Sus scrofa: one gene and its partner. The protein of the gene in region 1 purifies or fractionates together with the protein of each later gene. This does not show direct contact. Links are inferred from orthologs where the notes say so. Each region holds a gene or a part of one and is shown on either strand. Other genes may lie near its edges.

Region 1 (4,145 bases):
AGAGCTCAGACATGTCCTCACTACCCTGGGTGAGGCAGGGACCAGAACTGTGGGGTGGAGAGGAGGGGGTGAACCAAGAAGAAGGTTAGCCAAGCAGGCAGAGCCAGGGAGGGATTACTGTCCTGGAGGTCATGGGCAGAAGACCGAGAAGGTCAGAGCCTGCTTCTGGGGTACAGATGCCTCCCAAAGGGCAGAGGAAAGGGGATGAGATGGGAGATCTGAGCTTCTATTTTGGAAGAGATGGTTGGCCTCTGTGATATGGTATGTGTCTCTTAATCCTCTGAAATTCAGTTTCCTTGTCTGTGGAGCTTTCACCAGGTGTAACTGAGGTGAAATGGAAAGCAAGATGCTGGGAGGCATTCAAGGCATGCGCATTACAAGGACAGGATTCTCTTGGGGGACTGTTGCTATGGGCAAGTCTCCAGGGTGGGAGAAGAGGTACCACCCAGAAGAATGAGGCCTGGGTTGATGAGGGAGGGAAGGCAGGGGCTAAAACGCTGTGTCTGGGGTTTAGGAGAGAGGATGACTGAAGAGGAGGTGGAGACAGTTCTGGCAGGACATGAGGACAGCAACGGCTGCATCAACTATGAAGGTGAGCGGCTAGGAGCTGAAGAGACAGGGGAAGAGGGGAAGCATGAGGCTCCTCGTATGTGGGGGCGCGTCCTGTGGCCCAAATTATCTAAAGTCAGATGGATTATCAAGACCATCTTCTGAAGCCCCTCTTGCCTCCTCTCTCTGCAGCCTTCCTGAAGCACATCCTGAGCGTCTGAGCTCTACAGGTAGGGCCCTCCCACTTCGCCTTGTGAGGCCAGCCTGCTTCCCTTCCCTCTACCAGAGACATACGTTTCCACGTCCTGCTGCGCGCTTGAGCTCCAGGATTTGGCAACGTTCATCTTTTTCCACAGGTGCAGTGGGGCTCGACAAGGAGTCCCCCTACCCCTCGCGGGCGAAAGCAAGTTCCTGCCGCTAGGAGGCCACCTATTGTTTCAAAATAAAGTGACGGTTCCTCCCCTAAACCTCCGACTCTTGCTTTCTTCAGAGGTGGGGGAGGGAAGGAAGGAAAGGGAGGGATCTCCTCTCCCAAATCCGACATCCCCCGATTTTCCTGCGGCTCGCAGGAGGAGATTCCTTGCGCCCCACCCCACCCTCCTCTGCGGTTTCTGTGCCCCGGGTAGGACTATTCTGAAAAATGAGCCGCAGCGGGCCCCGCCCACCTCCTTACTAATGTAGCAGCAGCATCTGCATAAGACCGGGCCAGGATCCCTATTGGCTGGGTCAACGGAGGGTGACGTCATTGGGACGTACTAAGACTAGGGTTGGGCCGAGAACCGGAGCCATTACTGCAGGAAAAGGTCCCGCAGAGCCAAGCAGTCAAGATGGTGGGGCCCGGGGCTGGGAGGATGAGCGGGATTGGGGGCGAGAGGCGGGAAGCCGGGGGTAGGGGGCGAAGAGAAGGCAGAAGGTAGGGGGCAAAGGGACTTGAGGGTTGGAGGTGGGGTTGGAGATGTTGAGAGCCTGCCCTGCTGGGAAGCGAGAGTGCCCAGGATGGAACAGGAGTTCGTGGTTCAGAGTTCTTGGGACGGGGCTGGAAGCTTGGGGGATTGGAGTTAAGATGCTGATCGCTCCCCTCTTCTCCGAGCAGTGTGACTTCACCGAGGACCAGACCGCAGGTAGGTAATCTCTGACCCCGCTGAGGTCATGCTTAGGGAGAGGGACATTCCTTCTAGCACCTACCCCCTACCTGTCATTTCTTCAGCACCCACAAGGGAGTACCTCGTGGATTCCCTTCTCCCTCCTTCTGGGCCTCCATTTTCTTTTCTCAATCTTTCTTCCTCCCTCCCTTTCTACTCTAGATCTGAGCCCCAAGCACCGGGTGAGTTCTGTAGGTGGTGTGAGCATGTGAAACAGCTTGGCCACCAATGTCTGCCGTGTGTGGGGCTCGGGAGTGATGTATTAAGCTGCTTGTGCTCCTCTGTTCCTTAATCACCTCCTTCTGCCTCTTCTCTCCTCCTGTGCTAACTTTCCCCCTCCCCCAGCTTGGAATTGTGAAGGTTGTAAGAAGCAGTGACCTGTTGTTTTGCTGGTACAGGGGAGTTTGTTGAGGACGCTTCTTTGCAGCTATACTCTCTGAAAGATTTCTTTCTGTACTGAAGGGGTGAGAGTGGCAGGCTGGGATGACCCCAGTCCCAGGCTGCTGCTCCCACTTCCTTATAAGGACAAGGCCCAGACTGGGCGGTGGCAAATTCCTGCCCTGAGTACTGTAGTGAGGAGGCTGGGCAGGCTTGCTGTAGGCAGAGGGGGTATGGAAATGGCAGTTACCACTCTGCCAGGGCTTGAGGAGAGCTGTCTTTATGTGGGACACCTGAGTTGGGAAGAAGGGACACTAGATCCCTCTTAGAGGGCTTGGGTGTACAGTGGTATAAATATCTGGTTTCCTCAGCGTGATTAAAGTTGAATGGGCAACGGGGACTGTGAGGGAGGGTTTGGGTTCATCTGTGCCTGCCAGGTGCTGATGTTTATCCGAATCCTCAGAGTTCAAGGAGGCCTTCCAGCTGTTTGACCGAACAGGGGATGGCAAGATCCTGTACAGCCAGTGTGGGGACGTGATGAGGGCCCTGGGCCAGAACCCCACCAACGCCGAGGTGCTCAAGGTCCTGGGGAACCCCAAGAGTGATGGTAAGAGTCCTCAGAACAACCTGCTCAGCATGGTGGCAGGCCCGCAGTCTCCGGCTAATAGCTTCCTTTTATCTTCCTAGGCCCTGAACTCAAGCAGGTCTTGTCTAGCAAATCCCACAGATTTCTCCTGCCTTGAGTGGGAGCCCCGTAACCTCCAGTAAGAACACACGTGACTTTGCTCTCACCCCCTTTGTGGCAGAGATGAACGTGAAGGTGCTGGACTTCGAGCACTTCCTGCCCATGCTGCAGACTGTGGCCAAGAACAAGGACCAGGGCACCTACGAGGACTATGTCGAAGGCCTGCGGGTGTTCGACAAGGAGGGCAACGGCACCGTCATGGGTGCGGAGATCCGGCATGTTCTTGTCACACTGGGTAAGGCTCCGCCCTTGCTCCTTGAGCTGAGGTGCCACCTGATACACCTCACCTGTCACCCAGTTCCAGAACACTCACTCTTCCCCTCTGCAGGTGAGAAGATGACAGAGGAAGAAGTAGAGATGCTGGTGGCAGGGCATGAGGACAGCAATGGTTGTATCAACTATGAAGGTAAGGGACAAATGGAGGCTCTCACAAACGCAGTGGCTATCAGGGGCAGGTCAGGCACAGTGTTTGGGGCTTTCCTTGTCCCTGGGCTTGGGCTGCACAAAATGCCAGGAGGCAAGGGGCAGGGCCTGGCCCAGCCCAGGAGTGGGAGGCCTGGGGGGTGTGGCAGGAAAGGAAGGGCTCCTGCGGCTTGAAGGGCGGGCAAGGGGTGGGGCGTAAAACCAATGGGTGTCTTGTTCCCTCACCGCCTGATCCCCTTCACCCCACGTCTATGTCTTGTCTTCACCATTAATGTCTCTTCCTTCCTGCAGCGTTTGTGAGGCATATCCTGTCGGGGTGACGGGCCCCGTGGGGCGGGTACGGCTCCTCCCAGCCCCCCCCTTCTCTAGTTGCCCTCCCCAGTGTTTTTCTTCCTGGCCTTTGCTCTCTGGCCCCTGCCCTTCCCCTACTACCATGACTTCCTCCTAGCATGTCTCTGCATGGAGCTGACTGAGGAGGGGGGGTTCTTCAAAGAGGAAGGCAGCCTGGGGGTGTGGTACCTCCTCCTCTCCTAGAATGGGCTCTGAGGTTTTGCTTCTAGGGCGCTGGCGTCTGGGAACTCACACCAGCCTATCCCCGTCTTGCTTCAGGGTGACCCTGTGGCCCGGGAGCATGGGCGGTTGACAGAGGGGGGTGGGTTGCCCGCCCCATGGTGCTGCTGCAGCCGGAGTCGCTTCCCCTTCCTTCTGCTGGGCAGCTTGGAGGTACCCTAACCCAAAACTCTGTCTTTTCCTCCCGCCAATGGCTGACAGTAGCTGTAGGTGTAGCTGAGAACTCTTCTGCTCTGCTGTGTTCTTGCTGCTCAGGGTCGGGTGGGGAACTAACAGCTGGTGGGAGGGGAGCTGGAGGCCGAGAACCAGTCAGACTCAAGGTAGCGCCTCTGCAAACT
Region 2 (3,500 bases), on another chromosome or scaffold:
CCATGATTTGTTCTCAGCTGCCAAGAAAAGTCTAAAATGCAGCCTTTTTGGTGCTGGCCACAAACCATCAGCCTGCCTGGTTTACAAGGAGAGAAACTGAAAATCCAGAGAGGCGAAGTGGTTAAGCACAGGTCCTACTTATTAAAAGTGATAGTAAACTTTTCATCTTAAATATTTTCAAACCCCAGAAGGGCTGAATGAATAGAACGCTGAACATCCATATACCTGTCGCCTAGATTCACCTGTATTTAACACTTTGCCACATCAGCTTCCTCTCTCTCTAGCTTGCTTGCTCTTCCATCTGTGCTTTTTCTCTCCCTCCCTGAAAACTTCCTCGAGTAAGGGAGAGCTGATGTGAAAACCCAACTTGCAGAGTTGGCTCCTGTGTCCTTTTAAAATGTCTCCATCGTTCTTTTAGCACCTCTTGACTTTGTGGCATAATATGTTTCTGGTTCAATTTGTACTTTCCCTCCCTAAATTTGGATTTAGCTATTTTTCCAAGCATCCCTGGTTCCTTTTAATGAAAAACGGTATTTAGAAACCAAGATCTAGGCACTAGATGTGCTCATTGCCACACAGACATCATTGTTTCAGGCCTTCTAAGCGGACAGAGCTATGTTCTTTCTTTTTTGATGGCTTGGTGGTATTCCATTGTATAGGTAACTATAAGTGCTTAATTCTCCATTGTTGAGTATTTACATTATTTCCAATTATCATAAAAAATTCTGTAACAAATAACTTCTTGTACATATTTTGCAAATATAGGCATGTTTTGGAAGATAAATTTCTATAAATGTAATTGCTGGGTCAAAATTTTGTACAGTTGTGATTTTGATAGATATTTCAGTTGCCAGCCTTAGGGATTATTCTCTTATACACAACTACCAGCTTTTCTGTCCCACTTCTTTGAGACCCTCCCCTTGAGAGTACCAGGTCTCTTCTCACTCGTTTCTTTTCTTTGCTTATTTTTCTTACCACTTCTTGCTTTGGGTATCCCAATAGCCTTCCAACATCTATTTCTTTTTCCTTGCTCACATTCCTCTATAATTGCTATGCTGGCTCAAACTCTTTTAAAAATTACATATTCTAGGAATGCCCTAGTGGCTTAGCACGTTAGGATCTAGTGTTGTCACTGCTGTGGCCCAGGTTCGATCCCTGGCCCAGGAACTGCCACATGCTGCAGGCATGACCAAAAAAAAAAAAGTTAAAAAAAATGATGTATTCTAAGACATTTTTATTTTTTTTCTGCACAGCCAAGAGGCTTAGAGTCATTCCCCTGGGGTTCAGTACAATTCCCTCAGGCTGGCATTAAAAGCCCTCACACTTACTTTCACTTACTTTAGATGCTTAGGTTCTAGGGGGGACATAGAAGGATTAAGATATTGTTGCATTCATGGTGTGTCCTCAAATATAATTTAAATCAAAGTAAAAGCAACGGAGTAATGTTTCTCTGTTTTGCAGAGATGTTGCTTTGTCAAATCCTAGCATTTATTTGCCATTCTAGAACTGGCTTGTTTCTTAGGCTTGTGTATGGGAAGTTTGTTTGCTGATCTCATATCCTTGAATTATCAACAAAGATTCATAATTGATAGTTATTTATGGAAAGTGACATGATGTGATTTTTTACAGGGTCTCCAAAAAGCCTAGGGAAATGAAAGGAAAGAAAAGCAAAAAGATTTCTCTAAAATATACAGCAGCAAGACTACATGAAAAAGGAGTTCTTTTGGAAATTGAGGATCTCCAAGTGAATCAGTGAGTATTTATGTTTTTATTGTTTTATATATTGATTTTTAAATTTATGCATTTGTCATATCTTTATCTTATTGACTTTGTTTCTCTGGATAATCATTTTTATATTTTATGTGTATAATTAATTATGTGCAGAATTTGGCCTAATATGCAGTTAATTTGTCTCTCATGGAAAAGAAGGTATTTCTTTTCCTTGTTTGTGGAACATTTGTCTTGGGACATTTTACTTTTCCTTTTTAAAGCAGGAAGCCATTCCTTCCATTTATTTCTGTGTCCAAACTAAGAATAAATAAGACGGATGAGAAGAGCAGTGCCCTGCATTTCACCTGAGGCTAGGAACCTGGGACTTAGCTCATCTTCTTGGTTTTACTTTTTTTTTTTTTTTTTTTTGTCTTTTTTTGTCTTTTTGTCTTTTGTTGTTGTTGTTGTTGTTGTTGCTATTTCTTGGGCCGCTCCCGCGGCATATGGAGGTTCCCAGGCTAGGGGTTGAATCGGAGCTGTAGCCACTGGCCTACGCCAGAGCCACAGCAACGCGGGATCCGAGCCGTGTCTGCAACCTACACCACAGCTCACGGCAACGCCGGATCGTTAACCCACTGAGCAAGGGCAAGGACCGAACCCGCAACCTCATGGTTCCTAGTCGGATTCGTTAACCACTGCGCCACGACGGGAACTCTTGGTTTTACTTTTTACATTATCACACATGTGTTATCACACATGTGATAACACCTTTATCTGTAAACCTTTGTTTTTTTATGGTGGATGCTTAAAAATGTAATTTCTAGTCAGAATATTAAAAAAATGTTTGTTGTACAAAAACACAAAACATAAAATTTACCATCTTAACTATTTTTTACAGTGTACAGTTCAACAGTGTTAAATATATTCTTATGGTTGTACAAAAGAGCTCCAGAACTTTTCCATCTAACAAAACTGAAACTGTGCCCTTCAGACATAGTTTAAAGCCCCAGCCCTGGGCAACCAACATTCTCTTCTCTGTTTCTATGAATTTCACTCCTCTAGGTGCCCCATAGAGGTGGACCCACACACTGTGTAAGGTCACTTTTCTTTCTGTGGTTCCTTCACTTTTAGCGTGATATCCTCTCAAGGTCCATCCATGTTATAACCTGTGACAGATTTCCTGCCTTTTTAAGGCTGGCTAATTTCCCATTGTATACATGGCAATGGGAATGTTTTGAGACCCTACTTTGAATTCTTTTAGATATATACCCAGAAGCGAGATTGCTGGATCATATGATGGTTCTATTTTTTATTTGTTTGTTTGTTTGTTTAGGAACTGCCATACTGTTTTCCATAGCAGTTGGGGGAAAAAAAAGTAATAAAATAAAGTATTTTCTTTATTTTATTAACTAAATAAAACAAAGTATTTTCTAGGAGTGTCTGAGAAGTGTGTGAAAGCGCTTACCTCACTACTTCTTTGCTGTCATTGAATAGTAAAACAAGTTTTGATGTTTTTGAATCAGTGCATTAAAAATGGTAGTATTTTAAAATTTTGCATTTTTTAAAATTCCAGGTTTTTTCTTTTTTGGTGTATGTGTGTTTAAATGTGGCTTATTATCTATATTTTCTCTGGTCACTTTTTCATTCGGGAACCTTGGTCTTTTGGGATTATTTTTTTAGTTGAGCACTTTATGCATTTTTCAAATCTGTTTCATAATATTTACCATCTCCTCCCTTCTTTTTGTCATTATTTGCCACTACTGTTCAAGTGCCTACCATTATTTTGACTC

The links. Proteins that work in one complex are often made in the same cells at the same time.
Region 2: the proteins of MYL6 (region 1) and IQGAP1 purify together in Homo sapiens (affinity purification with mass spectrometry; 4 studies listed by BioGRID and IntAct, counting the BioPlex papers as one, with this or other methods). This does not show direct contact. The link is inferred for Sus scrofa from reciprocal best matches to the Homo sapiens genes MYL6 and IQGAP1.

What each region holds. Positions count from the first base shown.
Region 1 is NC_010447.5:21,557,980-21,562,124, forward strand, and holds the start of MYL6 (myosin light polypeptide 6), read left to right. Parts: upstream 1-1,345; 5' UTR 1,346-1,376; coding exon 1,377-1,379; intron 1,380-1,642; coding exon 1,643-1,670; intron 1,671-1,853; exon of another isoform or gene 1,854-1,873; intron 1,874-2,532; coding exon 2,533-2,676; intron 2,677-2,875; coding exon 2,876-3,049; intron 3,050-3,142; coding exon 3,143-3,220; coding exon of another isoform or gene 3,221-3,411; exon of another isoform or gene 3,412-3,528; coding exon 3,529-3,557; 3' UTR 3,558-3,574; exon of another isoform or gene 3,575-4,145. Other genes in the region: MYL6B (myosin light chain 6B), read left to right, coding at 1-29, 515-592, 742-770. UniProt on the Homo sapiens protein: Regulatory light chain of myosin. Does not bind calcium.
Region 2 is NC_010449.5:53,121,479-53,124,978, forward strand, and holds part of IQGAP1 (ras GTPase-activating-like protein IQGAP1), read left to right. Parts: intron 1-1,629; coding exon 1,630-1,752; intron 1,753-3,500. UniProt on the Homo sapiens protein: Plays a crucial role in regulating the dynamics and assembly of the actin cytoskeleton.